Linked DNA regions of Stegostoma tigrinum. The main gene of each other region encodes a partner of the protein of the gene in region 2 in a complex. Links are inferred from orthologs where the notes say so. Each region holds a gene or a part of one and is shown on either strand. Other genes may lie near its edges.

Region 1 (7,373 bases), on a different chromosome or scaffold from region 2:
TACCCTGGGCCTCACGTTGGTCACGCTGTGGTCTCATTTCCCATCTGCGTTTTGAAATTCCTCATGTTTCCCCGTGGTCATTTTGAATCTATAAATAACATATAATCCCAAGCAATCCATAGCCTTCAGTTACTTTATCTTCGCAGCTTAGCATGTACAATGTAACCTTGCGATCACAGGAAATTACTGCACAGAAAGAGGCCATTTAGCCTCTTATGATGATGTGAGTTTCAGCACCCTAACTGCAGCTGGTTATTCTGAACCTATTTGCCTGTCGATTGTGACTCAGCGTGCAGTGGCCTGGCTTCAGATGTTCAGCTCAAGTCTGTCTCTAGAGGCTTGAGTTTGTAAGTCAGGCCAACAATCCCAGAGTGGGGCAGTAGAACGTCAAGAGGTTCTTTATCCTCAACGGTGTTCATGAGGTGTGTGTAAGGGGGAGGGAAAGAGAGAGCGAGAGACAAACAGGTAAGCTTGACAAACTCCAGAAACGCAAGCAGAACCCAGTCCTGGTGCAGGTGATAGGGATCAGTGTCACAGAGGATCTCTAAGAGTCTTGCTGCTTTCCTCAGAGGCCTGCAAGGTAATCTTCCAGTCCAGGGTCTGCACATGGAGCAGGATGAACGTTTGATTTGATTTATTGTTGTCACACACACCGAAGTACACTAAAATGTTTTGTTTTGCATAGAGTGCAGGCAGATCATACATGGACATACAGATTGTAGGGCGTTTAGACAGAGTGAGGCATACAAGGTCAGGTTGCACAGGAGGTGCGCAAAGCAAGATCAACATTAGATTCGAAATTAGAGAGGTCCATTTAGCAATCTAATAACATCAGGGGAAGAAGCTGTTCTTAGAGTGATAAGGGTCATAGAGATGTCCAGCATAGAAGCAGACCCTTCCATTCAACTTGTCCATTCTGACCGCATATTGAAAATAAATCTAGTCCCATTTGCCAGCATTTGGCTCATATCCCTCTAAACTCTTCCTATTCATGTACTCATCCAGGTGCCTTTTTAAGTGTAAATGTACCGGCCTCGATCACTTCCTCTGGCAGCTCATTCCATATACACATCATCCTCTGCATGAAAATGTTGTTCCTTAGGTCCCTTTTAAATCTTTCCCCTCTCACCTTAAACCAATGCCCCTCTAGTTTTACACTCCCCAACCCTAGGGAAAAGCCTTGTCTATTCACTCTATCCATGCCCCCATGATTTTATAAACGTCGAAAAGGTCACTCCTCAGCCTCCAACACTCCAGGGAAAATAGCCCCAGTCTATTCAGTCTCTCCCTGAAGCTCAAACTCTCCAACCCTGGCAACATCTTTGTAAATCTTTTCTGAACCCTTTTAAGGTTCGCAACATTCTTCCTATTGCAGGGAGTTCTTGTATGTTTCTTTAGGCCTCTGTATTTTCTGCCTGACGGGGGTTTGGAAGAGATTGTTATTGGGGTGCGAGGGGTCTTTGATGATGTTGGTTTGCTTTCGACGACATTGAGAAGTGTAGATGGAGTCCATGAATGGGAGGTTAGCCTGTATGATAGTCTGGGCTGTGTTCACAACTTTCTGTAGTTTCTTACAGTCCTGGGAACAACAATTGCCGTACCAGGCCGTTAAGCACCCACACAGAATGATTTCTGTGGTCGATCGGTAAAAGTTGGCGAGGGTCCTTATGGGCATGCCGAACCTCCTCAGCTGCCTGAGGAAAAACAGGCATTGTTGTGCCTTCTTGATGGTCTTACCTATGTAGGATGATCAGGACGGATTGTTGGTTATCGTCACTCCTAGGAACTTAATACTCTCGACCCTCCCCACCTCAGCTCCATTGAAGTGCACGTGGCTTTTCTTCCAGTAGGTGCAGAGGGAGATCTCTGTGCCCAGCGGCCTGAAGAAAGAAGATGGCTCAGTAACGGCATCTCAGTCCGACATCCTGAGGATCAGCAAATCCTGTTGTGCCAGACTGTATGGAACTGTTTTACCATCTTTTGCACGTACACAATTCTTATGAATAAAGTATATTTTCTCCAGTACGGAAAAAGCCAAGTATCCCATATGTCTTCTGAACTACCCTATTGACCTGTCTTGCTACATTTAGGGATCTATGGGTAAGCACCCCAAGATCCTTCTTTTGTGTGTGGCTTCCTGGTGTCTGGGGAAACGCCTGTGGTCTTAAGGTCAGTCTGGATGGGCTGAATAACCTACTTTGGCACCTATGCCTTATGTAAGGCACAACAATAACACTTGGAAAGATTTACTGCCAGCTTTTTTCACAATTTCTAGTTTGTCTGCTCACGGCCCACATCGACTCTAGTCTCCTAGCCCATCTCAATCCCCTACAATTTGCTTAGCGACGTAACAGGTCCACAGCGTATGCTGTATCCCCAGCCCTGCACTCATCCCTGGAACATCTGGACAACAAGGGTACCAACATCAGACTCCAGCTCATTGACTACAGCTCCTCCTCCAACACCATTATCCCCGGCAGACTGATCTCGAAACTGCATAACCTTGGTCTCAGCTCCGCCCTCTGCAACTGGATCCTCAGCTTTCTGACCCACAGACCGCAATCAGTGAGGATAGGTAACTGTACCCCCTTCATAATAACATTCAGCACTGGAGCCTTCCAGGGATCTGTTCTCAGCCCCCTGCTGTACTCCATGCACACCTACGACTGTGTTGCCAAATTCTGAACAAACACCATCTACAAGTTTGCTGACAACACCACTGTAGTGGAACAGATATCTAACAGCGATGAGTCAGAATACAGAAAGGAGATGGAGGGCTTGGTGATGTGGTGCAATGAGAACAAACTCTCTCTCAATGCTGGCAAAACTGATGATTTATTTCAGAAAGGAGAAGACACACCCCCATCTACATCAACAGACCTGATGTTGACATGGTGACGATAACTGATAACATGTCCTGGCCTTCCCACGTAGAGACGATGATCAAGGCGGCACAACAGTGCTCTTCCTCCTCAGGCAGATCAGGAAATTTGGCATGTCCATAAGGTCCCTCACCACCTTCTACAGATGCACCCCATTGAAAGCACACTATCCGGATGCATAATGGCCTGGTACTGTAACTGCTCTGCCCAGGACTGTAAGAAACTACAGAAGGTGGTGTGTACAGCCCAGACCATCACAGAAGCCAACCTTCCATCCATGGACACCATTAATACATGGTTTGCTGCCACGAAAAGGGAGCCAACATCATCAAAGAGCCATCCCACCCTGGTAATGTTCTCTTACAGCCTCCACCATCAGGCAGCAGATATTACTTTCTGAAGAAGGGTCTAGGCCCAAAACGTCAGCCTCTCTGCTCCTCTGATGCTGCTTGGTCTACGGTGTTCATCCAGATCCACACCTTGTTATTCGCAGATTCTCCGGCATCAGCAGTTCCCACTATCTCAGGCAGAAGGTACAGAAGCCTTGAACACACCAATGGGCAGGTTCAGGAACAGCTCCTTCCCTGCCATTATCAGCCTGATGAGCGGACTCTCTAACCCGAAGTAACGCTGATCTCGCTCAGCGCACATTCCTGTGCAATGTAACAAAGTGTGAAGCTGGATGAACACAGCAGGTCAAGCAGCTTTTGTGCTCCTGAGACGCTGCTGGGCCTGCTGTGTTCATCCAGCATCTGCAGTTCCCATTATCTCTGCGCAATGTACCCTGTAGACCCCTATCTGAGCCTTTAGGATATGTACATCCCTTGCTTGCTATGATCGGCATGTACTCATAAACAAAGCTTTTCACTGTATCTCGGTGCATGTGACAATCGATCAATCAACAACTCAATCATCAATCATTCAATCTTCAGGGATAGTCTCTCAATCCTTTCAGTGATTCATTTGTGGCTAATAAGACCTGACCAAGCTGATTGCTGATTGGGGGAATGCGAACACCATCCTGTGGCTGCCCGTGGTTCTGATTGGGTAGACTGTGAATATAGCCCTTGTGATTGGTTTAATGTCCCCGTCTCTTATTGGAGAATCGAAGTCTAGCTACTGATTGGTCGTCTTACCCGCAATGTTCCCCAGATGATTGGCTACGTTATCCGGTCGCCCGCTCTGACTGGGTAGCTCCGCGCCGCTCGTCGTGGTGGCCTGACACTTGATTGGTCAGTTCTACCACCTAGCAGTAAAGCGGAGAACGATTGGTTGGGAGTAGACCCGAGCTTCCTCCAATGCCAGGGCGGTTTGTTGGCTTTTTGCTGGACGATGGCGGACCGCCTCACGCAGTTGCAGGACGCCGTGAACTCGGTGAGGGCGAGCGGCCAGAGTCCCGACTTGAGGCCGGGGTTAGCAGTGGGCCCGATGTGATAGCGCCGCTCCCGCCCAGCGGGTTATGGGGACGGGGGAGCGCCCTTCTGCGGGGCGGTCAGTCTTCGTGCCCACCAAGATGCCGACCAGGGCCAAAACACCCGCAACGGCTGAAGGCCGCTCCCCTCCTGTAGCCTGGGGTTCGTTTAATACAGCATCAAATACGCAGAAATTGCTGGAAAAAGCTGAGTAGGTCTGTGCAGGGTAACGTTTCGGGTCCAGTTCTGAGGAAGGGCCCCCTGCCCCTAAGCGTTAACTCTTGCCTTTTCCTTCACAGAGCTGCTGAGCTTTTCCAGCAATTTCTGTCTTTGTTCCTGATTCGCAGCGTCTGCGTTTAGAATCATAGATTCCCTCCAGTGTGGGAGCCGGCTCTTCGGCCCAACAAGTCCACACTGACCCTCAGACCGTCTTCGCACCCCCACGACAACCCATCTATTCCACCCTTCCCTGGACACTACGTGCAATTTCCCATGGCCAGTCCAGCTAACCTGCACATCTTTGGACTGCTGGAGGACGACCCCACTCTCACTCTCACTGTCTGTCTCTCTCGACACTCACACAATGTGCAAGCACTGAGCCACTGTGCCGCCCTGATCAGTCTTTATAAAATACACAGCAGCGGTCCCTTGACGGTGTGGTGCTCCCCTTCCTTCAATTGGACAGGCTATTTGAGGCACGCTGTCAAGCTATTTTCAACGCAGCGAGATATTGTGTGTTTGAGATCTTGCTGAATGTGATGGGTTCTAATCAGATTCTGAAATATGGTGAGAATTTTCAGATGTGAGTATCAAGGTAAAGACCTTGGAATGAAAATTGTCCCTTTTAAGGAATATTTAGAAATAGATGTATCTCAGTGGCATGAGGTTGCAGAAGACTTAAGTGTCCTTGTGTATGCATCACAAAAGGCTGTAATGTCAATTACTGAAGCATGCTTCAGCATTTAACGATGGCTAATTTAGTAATTAAATCTAATAGAATTTTCTTTTTGTTGCAAGGGATACTGAACATAACAAATGTAGAGCGATTATGCTTATTATTCAGGGCACTAGCTAGACTGCATCTGAAGTACTGTGCTCATCACTAGCCACCTTACTTCTGGTAGGGTGCAAATGCATTGGAAGCATTTTATAGATGGTTCACAAGACCGATACCTGGGATGGCAGGTTGTTTTGCAGAATGGTTGGAAACAGTAGGCTCGTACCAGCTGGAGGTTTGAAGAATATGTGACTTGATCAAATATTTAATCTTAATAGGGTAGATGTGAAGATGATGTTTTTTCTTGTGGGAGTATCTAGACTAGGGGTTACGGTTTAAAAATAAGGGGTGTCCCATTCAACAAAAGATGAGAATTATTTTTCCCTGAGGTGGAGTGTCTCTGAGCATCGCTTCCTGAAAAAGAAGTGGAAGCAGAGTCTTTGAATAGTTTATAAGGCAGAAGACATTAAATTCTTCATAAGCAAGGGGGTGAAAGGTTGGTGGCTTGAGGTAGGAGTTGGGTTTGAGGTTGCAATCACATTAGCCATCATGTTAAATGGTGGAGCGTGTTTGAGGGGCTGAATGGTCTGCTCCTTGTCTGTAAGTAAGTGTAATTTAGTCTGTTTCCACTCAGCTCTGATGTGTTTTCAGGTGAGCTACAAAACTGAATCAGAGTAAACACTGTTTACTGAACAGTTTGCTGTTTAGAATCTTTGCACGCCCACATGTTCTGTTTCATTTTTAAATTTGTCTTCCATCTTTCACACATCAGTGTGCTGTCAACAAATAACCTATGTAATTTGTATGAAGGGTAGGAGCCAACCTTGTGATTAGACTGTCAAACTTGTTCATAATTTGCACTGCTTGCCTTGATCTATGCTTTATAATTTGCTAGGGATAGAAAAATCCATTTGAGAATATTCCACCATTGAATTAGGTCATCACTGTACATAAACAAAACCCTCTCTTATACTGGAGATTGTCAATGCCCAGCATCATTACTAAAAAGAAAAACTAAGTCAGTGTTTCAGGTTGATGACATTTCACCAGAGCTGTCAAAAGTTGAGAGATGTAAACGATTTCAGGCAACTTCAGAGGCATGGTAAAAGAGAAGGGAACAAAGGAAGAAATGCTTGTGATAGTCTGAAAGGCAGGTCTAATTAAATGATAGAAGAGATGCTTATGCATGAGTTTCAATGAAATAACCAAAGAGGATGATTGGTTGAGTGGATGTCGTGCCAATCAGGCCGGCTGTTTTGTACTGATGGTGTCCAGCATCTTGAATGTTGTTAGGGCTGCACTCATTCTGGCAAGTGGGGAATATTCCATCACACTCCTGACTTGTGCCTTGTAGATGGTTGACAGCCTTTTCGGAGTCGGGAGTGAGTTACTCTTTGCAGTATTCCTAGCCTCCGACCTGCAAGTGTGTTATGTGACCAGTCCAGTTCAGTTTCTGATCAATGATAATGTCGAGGATGTTGATGGTGGGATATTCAGTGACTACAGCACTATTGAATGTCAAAGGGTGGTGGTTATTGCATGGCATTTCGATGACACTAATGTTATTTGCCACTTGTCAGACCAAGCTGGATATTGTCTAGATCTTGATGTATTTGGATATGGACTGCTTTGCAGTATATACTGTCTACAAGATACATTACAGAAATTCACCAAAGATCCTTAACATCATCCAAACCCACAACCACTTCCACCTAGAAGGACAAGGACAATAAATGCACGGGAGCACCAGCACCTGTAAGTTCCCCTCAATGCTGCGCACCTACTGATTTGGAAATACCTTGTCGTTTGTTTGAAATTGGAGAACTCCCTCCTGAACAGCATTGTGGGTCTACCTCCAGCACGTGCCGTTCAAGAAGACAGCTCACCACCACCTTCTCAAGGAGCAGGCAATAAATGTGACTAGCCAGCGATGTCCAAATCCCATGAGTGAATTAAAGAAAAGCCCCATTCTTGCATCTTTTTCCTTGACGAGAAATACCGTTGCCCAACAAAAATAGTTGTGTTGTTTTAAATCAGCCTTCTTTTCTTCTCTCTAGTTAGCAGACCAGTTCTGTAATGCCA
Region 2 (8,276 bases):
ACACTCGGCCACATCGATGGGTTCAATCTTCACCTTGGCCATGAGGTCCCCAGTTTCGGGCAGGTCATCAGGAAGTGAGGAGAGGCTGCTCTGGATCAGCTCCATCACCCGGTCCAGATGCTTTTGAAAGCGTTCAGCCGTCTCTAGCCGCTGCCGCTTCTGCACCTCCATCATTACACGCAACGTCTCCCGGGCCTGGTGGGGGCGGTACTCGTTGATCAGATGATGCATGTGAACAAACAGGAGTTTGAGGTCCTCCAGTTTCTCCTCTCGTTTTATGCTCCCGGGGCTTTTGATCAGGATGTCCAGTAAGTCCAAGAAGTTCACCAGGATTGACATGTTGAGTTTCTTGAGCTCTTTCTTGTGGTCGAACTGTGAAGGGTGGAGCCTCTCGATGCCCTGGCCCTCCAATGGACGGATGATCAAGTCGTCGCACTGGAACTGGTTGCCAAACATAGTGTAGCTGTCCCTGATGGGAGGTGGTGGCTTAGGAGCAAAGCCTTTGCGGACATTGTCGTCTGTGTACTCCTTATAGTACTGTGCTGGAGGCAGAGGCAACGCACTCACCTGCTGTGGCTCACCCATTGCACTCAATGTAACTGGATCTGCAAAAGGGGAAAAAAAAAGGAACAACCTCAAAACCTTGGTTTTAGTCTTCAATCCAGCAAAGTTGCCACTCAAAGCCTATCCTCTGGTTTTGTGTTAATTTTAAAATTCTCATCCTTGTTTTTAAACTCCAAGGCATCAGCCCTGCCTATTTACATAGCTTCACCAGCCCTAAAAGACCACTGAACCCCTTCAATCTCAGCCTCTTGTTTATCTCCAACTGTCACTGGCAACTGGGCCTCTGGCTGACAAGGCCCTGATCACCAATATCCCTCTCCTAAATCTCAAAAGCTCTGTTACCTCCTTTAAGATATTCATTAAAATTCATTTACTGTTATGTCCTCATCTGGCTCAATGTCAAAATCTGTCTGACAGACGTTCCTATGAAGCACCTGGGTTAGTTCAGGCACTGTGAACAGTTTGTGTTCAGAGATATAATACAATGCAGAGGAGGTCTTTCAGTCCACTGTTTGGCTGGCTCTCCAAATAAGCAATTCATCTTGTGCCTTCTCCACATAACCCTGCATTCGTCATTTCCAGATCATAAACTAATTCCCTTGTGTTTTGCTTCCCTCTTGCACGCCTGAATGGCTTATTATTCTGTGTATTGGTTTCAAGCAGATACTGACTAGGCCACCTCAGAACTTAATCACATCGAGTCTGTGTAGAAATCACAGCAGCCTCAGAATAATGCATACAATACAAAGTTTAAGTCTCACCAAGCAGCTCAAGAATTATTTAAAATGAATTGGCAATAAATTACAGCTGTCAGTATATGACCATGAAGCTGTCAGATTGTCATAAAAATCCATTCTGTGATCCAAGCCTTTATATAAAACATATAGAGCAGCACGAGAACAGTCCCTTTGGCCCACCATGTCTGTGCTGACCAGCATTCTAGGGCTACATGGTGGCTCCATGGTTAGCACTGCTACCTCACCGTGCCAGGGACCCAGGTTCAATTCCACCCTTGGACAACTGTCTGTGTGGAGTCTGCACACTCTCCTCCGGGTAATCTGGTTTCCTCCCACAGTCCAAAGATGTGCAGGTTAGGTGGATTGGCTAAGCTAAATTGCATGTAAAATTCAAGGCTCTGTAGATTAGGTGGGTAAAAGGGGCATGGGTCTGGTTGGGATGCACCAAGAAGTGGTGTAGACTTGTTGGGCCAAAGGGCCTGTTTCTACACCGTAAGGATTCTAATTCTAAACTAATCTCATCTGCCCACACATGGTCCATATCTCTCTAATCCCTGCCTGTTCATGTGTCTGTCTAACTGCCTCTTTAATGTTTCTAGTATATTTGCTTCTACCACCGCCCCTGGCAATGTGTTCCAGACACCTACCACCCTACGTGTAAAAACTGTTCTCACATCTCCTTAACTTTCCCCATCTCATTTTAATCCTATGCCCCCTCGTATTTGACATTTCCACCCTGGGGAAAAGACTGACTACCCCCATCTGTGTCTGTAATAATTTTATTTCAGGTCAGCCTGCAGCTTTTGATGCTCCAACGAAATCAATCAAAGTTTGTCCAACCTCTCCTTATAGCTAGTACACTCCGCTTCCCAGACCGGGGAAGGGGGCGTGGATTAACCTCCACATCCCAGATGGGAGGGGATTAACCCCCAGACAGACAGCAGATATTAACCCCTTTTCACAGACAGGAGGTATTAACACTTTTCCCCCAGACAGCGGGGGTTAACCCCCTCCTAGACCAAGGGGGGGGGGAATTAAACTACAGACGGGGGGGGGGGATTAAAACCCACACAGACGGGGGGGGGAAGAGAGAATTAAACCCCACACAGACGGGGGGGGGGGGGGAGAGAATTAAACCCCACACAGACGGGGGGGGGGGGGGGGGAGAGAATTAAACCCCACACAGACGGGGGGGGGGGGGGGGGGGGAGAGAATTAAACCCCACACAGACGGGGGGGGGGGGGAGAGAATTAAACCCCACACAGACGGGGGGGGGGGGGGGGAGAGAGAGAATTAAACCCCACACAGACGGGGGGGGGGGGGGGAAGAGAGAATTAAACCCCACACAGACGGGGGGGGGGGGAGAGAATTAAACCCCACACAGACGCGGGGGGGGGATTAAACCCCACCCCATTCCCATTCATACAGTGGAGGGAATAACACGCCCCTACCCTCCACAGACATGGTGATTAGGTAACCCACTCCCCACCTGACCGGGGGAAGGGGGGAACGGGAAACATTCTCTCCCCACCCCCACACAACGGGGGGGTACAGGGATAACTAGAAAGGGAGGTGCGGAGGCCGAATCTCTCTCCAATGATCTAGGACTAACCGCCTGCGGAGTTCCCAATGTTGCGGTACAAAACCGTGGGGAAGATCTCAGCCGCCGGCGCAGAGCCGGGCTCGGAGAGGCACAGGCCACATCCCCGACCTCGCGTACTCACCGCCACCGCCGAACGCCGTGGCCAGGCCAGGCTAGGCCAGCTCCCATTGGTTAAAGCAGCCGCAAATCGCGGCACGGTACAGCGTCCCATTGGGTAGATAGGCTGCCACTCACAGTGACGTAGCGAGTCAGCGCCCTTACTCGGGGATAATGAAATGTGAGGCTGGATGAACACAGCAGGACAAGCAGCATCTCAGGAGCACAAAAGCTGATGTTTCGGGCCTTGACCCTTCATCAGAGAGAGGGATGGGGTGAGGGAACTGGAATAAATAGGGAGAGAGGGGGAGGCGGACCGAAGATGGAGAGTAAAGAAGATAGGTGGAGAGGAGAATATAGGTGGGGAGGTAGGGAGGGGATAGGTCAGTCCAGGGAAGACGGACAGGTCAAGGAGGTGGGATGAGGTTAGTAGGTAGATGGGGGTGCGGCTTGGGGTGGGAGGAAGGGATGGGTGAGAGGAAGAACCGGTTAGGGAGGCAGAGACAGGTTGGACTGGTTTAGGGATGCAGTGGGGGGAGGGGAAGAGCTGGGCTGGTTGTGTGGTGCAGTGGGGGGAGGGGACGAACTGGGCTGGTTTAGGGATGCAGTAGGGGAAGGGGAGATTTTGAAACTGGTGAAGTCCACATTGATACCATTAGGCTGCAGGGTTCCCAGGCGGAATATGATTCCACATTAAGCAGAGGTTCACCTGCACATCTGCCAATGTGGTATACTGTATCCATTGTACCCGGTGTGGCTTCCTCTACATTGGGGAAACCAAGCGGAGGCTTGGAGACCGCTTTGCAGAACACCTCCGCTCAGTTCGCAACCAACTACTGCACCTCCCAGTCGCAAACCATTTCCACTCCCCCTCCCATTCTCTAGATGACATGTCCATCATGGGCCTCCTGCACTGCCACAATGATGCCACTCGAAGGTTGCAGGAACAGCAACTCATATTCCGCCTGGGAACCCTGCAGCCATATGGTATCAATGTGGACTTCACCAGTTTCAAAATCTCCCCTTCCCCCACTGCATCCCTAAACCAGCCCAGTTCGTCCCCACCCCCCACTGCACCACACAACCAGCCCAGCTCTTCCCCCACCACCCACTGCATCCCAATACCAGTCCAACCTGTCTCTGCCTCCCTAACCGGTTCTTCCTCCCACCCCAAGCCGCACCCCCATCTACCTACTAACCTCATCCCACCTCCTTGACCTGTCCGTCTTCCCTGGACTGACCAATCCCCTCCCTACCTCCCCACCTATACTCTCCTCTCCACCTATCTTCTTTACTCTCCGTCTTCGGCCCGCCTCCCTCTCTCTCCCTATTTATTCCAGTTCCCTCTCCCCATCCCCCTCTCTGATGAAGGGTCCAGGCCTGAAACGTTAGCTTTTGTGCTCGTGAGATGCTGCTTGGCCTGCTGTGTTCATCCAGCCTCACATTTTATTATCTTGGAATTCTCCAGCATCTGCAGTTCCCATTAGCCCTTACTCGGGGAACTGTTGCAGAATCGCGCATGCGCATGTCTCAATCCTTGTTTCATTAACAGGAAATGAGACTGGGGGGAATTAACACTCCCTCATGCACACATTGGTAATTAGCTGACTGTTCCCACCAGTGACTGGGCAGCATTTATTACCCAGGGTCAGCCACATTTCTGTCGGACTGGAGTCACATGTAGGCCAGATCAGCTTTCTTCCCTGAAGAACATTAGTGAACCAAAAACAAAGTTGCTGGAAAAGCTCAGCAGGTCTGGCAGCATCTGTGGAGGAGAAAACAGAGTTAACCTCAGGGAGGTGAGCCTCCCTCAGAACTGAGGAAGTAACTTTGCTTTAGCTCCTGATTTACAGCATTTGCAGTTCTTTTGGTTTTTATTTAGTGTTTAACTCACTGCCACATCTCTTCCAGGCATGCCCACCTTGAAGAGGCTCTACTTTCTCCGATGGGATTTCAGTTCCAATCTCTATTCGTGCCTAGTTCTGAGGAAGGGTCACCAGACCTGAAATGTTGACTCTGTTTTCTCCTCCACAGATGCTGCCAGACCTGCTGAGTTTTTCCAGCAACTTTATTTTTGTTCCTGATTTATAACATCTGCAACTCTTTGGAATTTTTATTAACATTAGTGAACCAGATGGGTTTTTCCTCCAACCTTTGACAATAGATTTGTGGTCATCATTAGACTCTTAATTCCAAATATTTATTCAATTTCCACCATCTGCTGTGGCAGGACTTGAACCTGGGTCTCCAGATTATTATCTGAGTCTCTGGATTAACAGTCCAGCTATAATACCACGAGGCGATCGCCTCCCCCAAGTACAAATACACTGTCCCACCCCAGGGAACCCTTGTAAACTCTGACACACTTCACTTGTGCTTTCTCTAAATATTGACATGCTCCCTAGACTACACTTCGTTGGTTGTCAAAGCTTTGAGATATTCTGTAAAGAAGCATTATATAAATGCAGCGATTGTAAGAACTGCCGATGCTGGAGTCTGAGATAACAAGGTGTAGAGCTGGAGGGACACAGTGGGCCAGGCAGCATCAGAGGAGCAGGGAAGCTGATTTTTTTTTTGGATCAGGATGCTTCTTCGGAAAAAAAAATTCTGAAGGGGGTCCCAACCCTGAAACGTCAGCTTTCCTACTCCTCTGATGCTGCCTGGCCTGCTGTATCCCTCCAGCTCCACGCCTTATTATATAAACGCAGATCTTTCTTGATGTGAAAACTTAGCACAGCAGTGCCTTCACTGGCAATGGGCGAATTACAATTTGATAACAATACGTGTGTTAAGTTAGAATTTATAAGACAGAAGATGCATGTGGAAAGCACATTTTAAATATATAGTAGTTAGACACTAGATATTATTTATGATTATGTATGTCCACATCTTTTACATCCATCTTTTGTTGTTCTATATCAAATACAAAAATCATAAGTTTGAATAATATTCACTGTCTGCTATTTGGAAACAGCCAGCATTTTAGAATTAGAATTAGAATTAGATTTTTATTGTCACATGTACAGGGATGTAGAAGTACAGTGAAAAGTTTTCAATGGCGCCATCTAAGACACAAGGAACCTAAGTACGAAATCTTAGATAAAGAGGAAAAGAATGAAGAAATAAGTTAAAAGTTCAACATTACAGCTCAGGTCAGTATAAATCAGTGATTACGAAATAATGTTAAAAGTTAATGCCGTTGGTCCCAGTGGAGGGCGATGTCACTATGCAATCCCTTGGCTGTGCTGGGTGGCAGTGTTGGGCCATGTGTCAGTGCTCTTCCCCTCAGTTATGTCCTCAGTCTATTTCAAACTTCTTGGTGGACATTGAAGTAGGTCTGAAGAATAGAGCCAGTGTTGTAATGTGTGTGTTTGTGCTTCAGCACCAAAGATCTGAAGCCTTTAGCTTTTCGCCACCCTGTCAGAGAATTACAAGCCTGGTAGACCCATGTCTCCCTCTTCCTGAGAAGACCAAACATCGACATTAGGAAGCTGAGGCTGTGAATCTCAAGCTTGAATACAAGGGACATTTATCAGTTACATTGATACATTGGTGAAGTGTGGAGATTGGAGCAGTTCTTCTCAGTACAGAGAATGTTAAATGAAATTTGAATGAGGTGTTAAAAATCACAAAATGTCAGACTGAAATGTCAGCTTTCCTGCTCCTAAGATGCTGCTTGGCCTGCTGTGTTCATCCAGCTCTACATCTTGTTATCCCAGATAGCATGAAACTATTTCTATTGGCAGAAGGGTCAAAACCGTAAGACCACATGACTGGGAGATGATAGCCTATTGGTATTATCACTAGACTATTAATCTGGATACCCAGGAAATGTCGTGGGGGAAAGGACATCACAATGGCAGATGGTGGAATTCGATTTCAGTATTTTAAAAAATCTGTATTAAGATTCTAATGACCATGAAACCATTGTCAGGGAAAACCCTATCTAGCTCACTAACGTCCTTTATGGAAGGAAATCTGCCATCCTTAAATGGTCTGGCCTACATATGACTCCAGATCCCCATCAATGTCCTGCCCCCTTCTGAAAATGCTGCACTTTGCTCTCTCAGGGTCCAACCCTAACTTTGTTTCCAAACCAGTTGACAAAGGTGTTGCTATTGTCGTCTGGAGCGCTGACCTTTATCTTGCAGAGGCTCAATGCCATCTCTCTGACACTTCCTCCCACCTGCCCCTGGACCATGACCCCACATACGAACATCAACCCATCATTGCTAGGACTGTCACTGATCTCATTACCTCAGGAGATCTCCCCCCTAGTGCCTCCAATGTTCTCACAGCGCCTTCCTTGTAACTGCAGAAGGTGCAACACCTCACCCTTCACTTCCTCCCTGCTCACCATCCAAAGGCCTAAGCAGTCTTTCTAGGTGAAGCAGCATTTCACAGCAATGTGGATGACTCTTAACTGCCCTCTGGCAATTAGGGATGGCCAATAAATGCTGGCTATAGTCAGTGGTGGCCATATTCCATGAATGAATGAGAAAAAGGAGCAGATGTAGGCTACACAGCCCAATGAGTCTGCTCTGTCATTCAATGACATCATGTCAAATCTGATAACCCTCAACTCCACTTCCCTGCCATTTCCCCACAACCTCTGATTCCTTTAATAATTAAAATTCTGTCTAGCTATCCTCAGGACCCAGCACCAAACCTTGAGGCACACTGCAGATCACAGGCCTGTTGTCTGAACAACAGCCCTGTCCCACCACCCTCTGTCTCCTGCTTCTCTGAAAGGATTGTGAGTCTATGGAATTTAGTACCCTAGAGCCTGGTGGACACTGGGAGTCTGAATAAATTTAGGGGAATCCTGAGGGACAGGATTTACATGTGTTTGGAAAGGTGAAGATTGATTAGGGATAGTCAACATGGCTTTGTGTGTGGGAAATTGTGTCTCACTAACTTAATTGAGTTTTTTGAACAAGTAACGAAGAGGATTGATGAGGGCAGAGCAGTAGACATGATCTGTATTGATTTAAATAAAGCATTTGACAAAGTTCCTCATGGTAGACTGGTTAGCATGGCTAGATGACACAGAATAGAGGGAGAACTAGCTATTTGGATATAGAACTAACTCCATAGTAGAAGTCAGAGGGTGGTGGTGGAGGGTTGCTTTTCAGACTGGAGGCCTGTGACCAGTGGTGTGCCACATGGCTCAGTGCTGTGTCAGCTGCTTTTTATCATTTATATAAATGATTTGGATGTGAACATAAAAGATATGATTTGTAAGTTTGCAGATGACACCAAAGTTGGACGTGCAG
Region 3 (7,315 bases), on a different chromosome or scaffold from region 2:
CTGACCTGTCATACCGATCTCAAGCCCATCTAACCTGCACTATTCCACGTATGTCCATATGCTTGTCCAATGATGACTTAAATGTACCTAAAGTTGGTGAATCTAACTGAATCAATTTCAGTTTCTGACAAAAAATTGCACGCCTGACCACTGCGTGGTGTTTAATGACATCTTGCACCATTTACAGAATTTATATAAAAGTATGTATCAATTGCAGCAGTTTGTAGTACTCTTGAGTGAGTCAAAAGGTGTTTCACTTGGTCCCACTCCAGATGTTAAAACACAAATCTAGGATAACACCCAGCACAGTACTATCAGAGATGAGGTCTTTCAGATAATATGTTAAAGTTCGGAGCTACTGGATGAACACAAATAAAAATGACACCATGAGAAAAACAAGCACCATCCCCAGTGTCTTGGCCAACAATTATCCTCCAACTAATCTCAGCAAACACTATCCGGTCACTATCACATTGTCAAGCAATCTGCACTAATTAAAAACCAAAAGAACTATGGATGCTGTAAGTCAGAGACAAAATTGAAATTGCCGGAAAAGCTCAGCAGGTCTGGCAGCATCTGTGGAGGGAAATCAGAGTTAACTTTTGGAGTGACCCTGAGAACTGAGAAAGGGTCACTTAGCCCAAAAAGTTAACTGCTTACTCTCCACAGATGCTGCCAGTCCTGCTGAGCTTTTCCAGCAATTTCTATTTTTGACTCTGCACTAATTGGTTGCTGCATTTCCTACAGAACAATAGGGCCTACACTTCATTTCTCTAGGATCTGATTTTTTGCATCTGTAATATTTTGCTTCCACTGTAACATCCTGCAGAGCTGCATTAAGACTGAGATAGTGAAAAGTGCAGCATAGATGCAAGTACTTCTTCCTTTGAAGAACTAGACTTGCATTCATAGTACAGTACAGCATAGAAACAAGGCCCTTTGGAGCAAAATGTCTTTACCAGCTTTGATGCTGCCACATCATCTGTAACCCTCTACATCCTGCCTGTTCACGTATCTGCTTAAACACTTCTTAAAGTTTGTAAACATATCTGCTACTACCACCTCCTCGGCAGCATGTTCCAAGCACCTACCACCCTGTACAAATCTTTCCCCCTCTCAACTTAAACATTTGCTCCCCGTAGTATTTGACATTTCCATGCATGCAAAAGACCCTGACTATCCACCCTATCCATGCTTCTCCTATTTTTATATACTTTTATTAGGTTGCACCTCAGCCTCCAAAGCTCAAGTGAAAACCATCCAAGTTTGTCCAATCTCTCCTCATAGCTAATACTCTCCAATCCAGATGATATCATGGTAAAGGTAACAAGGTGTAGAGCTGGATGAACACAGCAGGGCAGGCAGCATCAGAGGAGCAGGAAAGGTGACGTTTTGGGTCTGTTCCCTTCTTTATGGTAAGCCTCTTTTACAACCTCACCAAAGTTTCCACATCCTTCTCACAGTGTCGAGACCAGAACTGCACATAATAGTTTAAATGTGGCCTAAAGAAAGTCTTAAGTCTTATACAGCTGCAACGTGACTTGCCATATTTTATACTTAATGTCCCAACCAATGAAGGGAGGCATTCTGTATGCCTTCTTTACCATCTTATTCACTTGTGTTGCTACTTTCAGGGAGCCATGGACTTGGACTCCAAGATCCCTCTGTGTATCCATGCTCCTCAGGGTGTTACCATTAATTGTATGCTTTTTCTTGTATTTGATTTCCCAAAATGCATTACCCCACATTTGTCTGGATTAAACACCATTTCTCCACCCACATTTCCAATTGATCTCTATCATAAAGCCCTTTCTATGCACACCACATCTCCTAAAGTGCCTTTATGATATTTTATATTGAAATCAAAAGACATTGCAGATGCTGGAAATGATGTGCAGTCACTTAATGTCAGAAATGCAGCAGCGAAATTTGCACACAGCAAAATCCCACAAAGTCTTGGCATTTTTACTACATGCAGTGGCACAACGGCTGCGGTTAGCAATGTTGTCTCCTACTGCCAGGGACTTGGGCTCAATTCCACCTTCTGGCAGCTGTCAGTGTTGAGTCTGCATGGGTTTCCTCTGGGTGTTTTGGTTTCCTCCCACTGTCTAAAGATGTGCATGTTAGGTAGACTGGCAATGTTAAATTGCCCATAGTGTCCAGGGATATGGAGGCTATAGATGGGTTAGCCACGGGAAATGCAGGGTTATGGGACAGCAGTTTGGTTGGGATAACACAATGGACCGCTTCCACACTGTAGGATTCTATGATGGAAAGAGGCACTACAACTCGTCATGCTAATGCTGGTCACAAAGCATCTATCTACTGTAATCCCAGTTTTCAACATGTGGCATGAAGCCTTGTATGCTACGACATTTCAAGTACTCATCTAAATACTTCTTAAATTAATTGAGGTTTTCCACTTCTACCACCCTTCAGGGCAGAGAGCTTCAGATACCAACCACCCTCAGTGAAAAAAAATTCCTCAATTAGTCTATAAATTTCCTGCTGCTTTCTGTAGAACTGCACCCCTGGTTATTGACTCCTCTGCTAAGGGGAAAAGTTCCTCTCTATCTACCCTTCAAACATTTATACACCTGAATAAGGTGGATCACTGTTCTCTGCTCTGAAACAACCCCAGCCTGTCTTTCCTCTCTTCAGAGCTAAATCACTCCAGCCGAGGCAACGTCCCGGTGAATCAGTTCTGAAGAAGGGTCACTGGACTCGAACTTTAACTCCGCTTCCTCGCCACAGATGCTGCCATACCTGCTGAGTTTTCCCAGCAACAGCCGTTTTTGATCCTGGTGAAACTTCCTCTACGCGCTCTGCAGCACAATCACATCTTTCCTACCGCACAGCGACCAAAAATGCGCACAGTTCAGCTGCGGCCTAACTAACGTGACGCACAGCCTCATCGTAAATCTCGATGTTCTCGTAGTTAACACACACACTGATCAAGTCCAGAGCTGATGTGCCTGCTTAGCCTGTCCTGCTCTCTTCGAGTCTCCAGCCCACAAATGCCATGACGAGCTGAGGACTGAAAGTCTCTACACTGCGAGGGGAAAACGGGATGGATTCGGGCGGGGGGGGAACACGAGTGGAAGTGATTTCCTCCGACAAATGAGTTACTGTGAGGGTCGAGCTCAAGGGGACGATCCAGTCCCGCTGACGACCCCTTACCTGCATGGCAACCCCAGCCGCTACCTCCCGGTTTCCGGTTCCGGGCGACGGGGCCAGGGGTCAGAGGTGACGTGTATGTAGGTTGATTGGGGGAGGGGGGCGGTGTGCCGGGAGATGAACCGGGAGCGGCAGAGTGCTGCGATTCTAATCGATAGGCGGCGGGGCGGAAGGCCGGCCGGCCGGTGGGCATGAGAGCGGCCATCGAGCATGTCTGGGGGAGAGAGAGACTCCGAGGTAAAGGGAAGGGCCCAGGTTGGGGTGCGGTGTCAGCAAACAGTGAGGGGCGGCCCCGTGGAGGGCACGGGACATGTACAGTAAGGTCCGTGCGACCCTGCCTTCTGCACGCAGCTCCTTAAACTTTGCTAGCATAGGATTTACGGCTCTCCGTCTGATTGTTTTTTTTCTTCTCGTGTCGGAGAGTTAAAAACCCAGTGAGCTGCACATGAATAAATACGCGTTTGGGACTGTCAGAACAGCAATGACAGCTCCCGTGTTTGTTCTGGAGGAGGTTGCTGTGTCATCAGTGAACTCCGAGTTTCATCAGCTGACCCAACTTTGGAGAGGACTCCTGAGATAAATTATTTCCCACTGTCTCCAGCGTGGCTAGAATTTGCATCCTCAGTGATGGACGACAGACACATGCTGGGGTGGCCAGTGATGCCGACATCCTGTGAATCAACAAACCACAGTGTCTTGTAGGGGCTTTTATACGCTGCCTGTGCTACTTGTTGTTAACAGTCAAAATATGAAATGCTTCCTGGGCAAGCAGAAGACATCTGCTTGCCTCACACCATGGAATCTTGACACATGTTGTCTGGGTCTATGCGCTTTAAGTCTTGTTTATAAGGTCCTCAAATTTTGCTAATTGTGCAGATAAGCACTCATATCATATCAGAAAACTAGTATATTTGGATAAAATTAACTAAAGCTGGTATGTAGATGATAAAAAAGCAATATCAAACCACAGCAAATGTAGGAGCTAATTTTTGGAGCAATAGTATAAAAAAATGACTGACAAAAATATAGCCATTGGAACCTGTGGAATTTTGAGGAAATATACCTGGTGAGTATGCGTTGTATGTTTGGAAATTTCTTTTGGTGATATCAAAGGGTGTGTTTAGTTGGAGCTCCAGTGCAACGATCAGATCATGTCCTGTGACAAGATGTTTCCTGTAACTAATATAGTTGGCTTTATGTCACATCAGACTTGCAGGATAACAACTCTGATGCTTTTAAATATTTCTTTGCCTGCTGGGAGATTGTGATGTTTCACAAAATGGTTGTGTTTGGCTACTGAAAAATGTCTGGTTCTGAATATCAGGGGAAAAAAAATAGAAGTAGTAAATTCTCTTTTGGGTTTAACATGAACTTTTCATGATCATCTATGATCATATTGAATGGTGGTGCAAGCTTGAAGGAAAGAATGCTTACTCCACCTATTTTCTATGTTTGCAAGAAGTAAAGAGAGACATAGGAAGGTATCTACTTCCAATTAGAAATGCTATATTTGATTTAATAACCTTTTTCTTGCTGATGAAGTGTAAAATGGACTTCCATTGAGTGCCTTAGTTGCTTAATTTTATGAGAAGTTAATCGAAGGACCAAAGAAAGAAAGCAAACTAAGGAGCAGAAAGAAAATCACTCAAATCTCATTGATGCAAAATCATCCAAGTATTTATAGTCTTATTAATGTGTGATCTTGTATACTAGTAGAGCTTCTGGTGACCTAAAGTTCTAGTTCCAAGTCACATACTTTTGTTTTGACAGGTGGAAGAAGCAGGACAGGTTTTCTTGCTTATGAAGAAGGAATATCGGATTTCCCGCAATGTAAGATTAGCTTGGTTTCTCAACAGACTGAATCAAAGCATTCGACCGATGTCCACGTCAGAGCTTGTGAGTGAAACGGTGCCTTGAATTGTTCTGTGACCTCTTTGTGAGAACATGGATGAAGTAGTGGGAACCTAATATGGTGTATTAATCTTTGCATGAAAAGTAAATTGCAATCTCAGTACATTGGGAGAAAATTAGATGGTCATGTTCTTAGTTTAAAATATCTATTTGTAACACAAGTATTTTCAGGACATGTTAGAATAGATAATTACACTAATGTAATTGCCCTGTTGTTTTCTGAAATGACTGAGAATGTGAACTCATTAATTTTTTCCGCCCTCCCCCACCACCGACTCAAACAAAGGACACAGCGTCCAACTGAAGTGAAAAAAATATAATATTTGTGAATTGAAATTGGGACCTTCTTGGTCTGCATGGCTCAGTTTGACATAATAGAGTGCTGGTAGCCACTGAGCCAACATGCAAAATCTCCTGATATTACCCAAGATTGTGGATTGATCATGCAATGATGGGAAGCCCTAGTGATTCTGAGAAAATCTGTAATTTTTTTCCCCCTTCAGCTGTTGATCCAGTTCCCTTTTGAACCTGCCTCCTCCATATTCTGAGGAAGTGCATTTGAAATTGTAACCACTCCCTGCGTAGAAGTTTTTTCCTCACATTGATTTTGCTAATCAACCCAAATTGGTGGTGTTTTATTTTTGTCCTTCTGCCAGTGGACATAGATCCTGGCAGTGTTGGAGTGAACCTATCTGTAAGCTTTTTCAGACATTTCTATCAAATTTCTTATTAATCTCTAAGGGGAACAATCTCAGCATCTTTCATTTATTCAGTAATTGAAGTCCTTTTATTCCTTTTTGCTTTATAATAGTTGTAACATATGCCATTGTGATGCATCTCACAATTATCCTTTCTCTCTTACAGAGCAACTCCAACAATGAATTGGATGTTCTCAGTGTCCTACCAAAAGGCTGGCAACCAGATGAACCAGTTGCTGATCAAACGTACCAACTGGTACCCTCAACCACTATTACCTTCCTTGCTCAGCGATACCGCTTTGTTATTGAGCTGGATCTCAGTCCATCTACAGGGATTGTGGTGAGTAATTGTTGCATTTGGTGGGAAGAGAGAGAGGTGGCACGGTGGCTCAGTGGTTACCCCTACTGTCTCACAACACCAGGGACCAGGGTTTGATTCCAGCCTTAAGTGCCTGTCTGCATGGGGCTTGCATGTTCACCCTGTGTCTGCTTGGGTTTCTGCTGGTTGATTTGGTTTCCTCCCACAGTCCAAAGATGTGCAGTTTAGGTGGATTGGCTATGTTCAAGTGTTCCATAGTGTCTACAGATGTGCAGGCTAGGTGGACTAGCCATGGTAAAAGCAGGGTTATGGGGATCAGGTGGATGGCTGGGTCTTGAAAAGATGCAGTACCAAGGGTCAGTGCAGATTCGATGGGTTGAATGGACTCTGTCCGCACAGTGGGGATACTGTGATTAAATTTGAAGCTATCGAAAGTGAACATCTCAATAAATATTTTGAATTTCATCAGCTTTGACAAAAAGTTTTCTTTAATTACATGTATGCATATTTTAAAATATTTTATTTGAAGAGATGCTGGTGTACAGGATGAACAGCGTTTATTTCCCATCTCTAATTGCCCTTGAGAAGGTGGTGGTATGCCGCCTTCTTGAACCACTGCAGCCCATGTGACGTCAGTGGATTTTAATTGAGTGATCTTGTCGGAATGGCGACATGGTTTGTTGTCAGGATGTTAATGGCTTAAAGAGGAACTTGCAGGCGTTTGAATTTCCATGTATCTGTTACCCTTGCTCTTCTAGGAAGTGGAGATCAAGAGTTTGGAAGGTATTTTCTAAGGACCCTGTGTGAGTTGTAAACAGTGAACAGTGCAGCCACAGTGTTTCATGGTGTTGGTTAAATTGCCAATCACTTGGGCTGTTTAGTCCTGGATGGTGTCATGCTTCTTGAGTATAGTTGGAACTGCACCTGTGCAGACAAGTAGGGAGTGTTCTGTCATATTCCTGACGTGTGTGTGTAGATGATGGACAGATATTGGGGAGACAGGGTGAGTTACTTCTCTCAGAAGTTGCAGCCTCTGACCTGCTGTTATAGCCATGTTATTTATGTAACTATTACTGTTCAGTTTTTGATCAGTTATGACTCCCTTGAATGTTGACAGCGGGGGATACAGCGATGGTAATGCCATTTAATGTCAAGGAAGGATTGTTAGATTCTCTCTTGTTAGAGACAGTCATTGCTTGGCGTTTGTGTA

What was found. Proteins that work in one complex are often made in the same cells at the same time.
Region 1: the proteins of med7 (region 2) and med21 are in contact, whole or in part, in a cryo-EM structure (PDB 7EMF), measured with the Homo sapiens proteins. The link is inferred for Stegostoma tigrinum from reciprocal best matches to the Homo sapiens genes MED7 and MED21. Residues at the interface, in NP_001094286.1 of Homo sapiens: Phe72, Asp73, His74, Lys75, Leu78, Arg79, Asn82, Ile85, Leu86, Phe89, Leu92, Leu93, Leu96, Phe116, Val119, His120, Ile123, Asn124, Tyr126, Arg127, His129, Gln130, Arg132, Glu133, Leu135, Arg136, Met139, Glu140, Gln142, Lys143; in NP_004255.2 of Homo sapiens: Asp3, Leu5, Thr6, Leu8, Gln9, Val12, Asn13, Leu15, Ala16, Phe19, Ile23, Ile62, Ala66, Ile69, Asp70, Ile73, Asp74, Leu76, Pro77, Ser78, Glu79, Ser81, Ala83, Gln86, Ser89, Leu90, Leu93, Glu96, Asn97, His98.
Region 3: med7 (region 2) and med8 share a complex: the UniProt entries of both Homo sapiens proteins name them as parts of the mediator complex. The link is inferred for Stegostoma tigrinum from reciprocal best matches to the Homo sapiens genes MED7 and MED8.

The regions. Positions count from the first base shown.
Region 1 is NC_081371.1:59,249,083-59,256,455, forward strand, and holds the start of med21 (mediator of RNA polymerase II transcription subunit 21), read left to right. Parts: upstream 1-4,154; 5' UTR 4,155-4,214; coding exon 4,215-4,256; intron 4,257-7,348; coding exon 7,349-7,373. UniProt on the Homo sapiens protein: Component of the Mediator complex, a coactivator involved in the regulated transcription of nearly all RNA polymerase II-dependent genes.
Region 2 is NC_081366.1:12,400,427-12,408,702, reverse strand, and holds the start of med7 (mediator of RNA polymerase II transcription subunit 7), read right to left. Parts: upstream 3,247-8,276; 5' UTR 3,116-3,246; coding exon 2,914-3,115; intron 606-2,913; coding exon 1-605. UniProt on the Homo sapiens protein: Component of the Mediator complex, a coactivator involved in the regulated transcription of nearly all RNA polymerase II-dependent genes.
Region 3 is NC_081361.1:79,769,825-79,777,139, reverse strand, and holds the start of med8 (mediator of RNA polymerase II transcription subunit 8), read right to left. Parts: upstream 3,220-7,315; 5' UTR 3,187-3,219; coding exon 3,181-3,186; intron 3,172-3,180; exon of another isoform or gene 2,767-3,171; intron 1-2,766. Other genes in the region: KICSTOR complex protein SZT2, read left to right, coding at 3,388-3,414, 4,948-5,073, 5,953-6,126. UniProt on the Homo sapiens protein: Component of the Mediator complex, a coactivator involved in the regulated transcription of nearly all RNA polymerase II-dependent genes.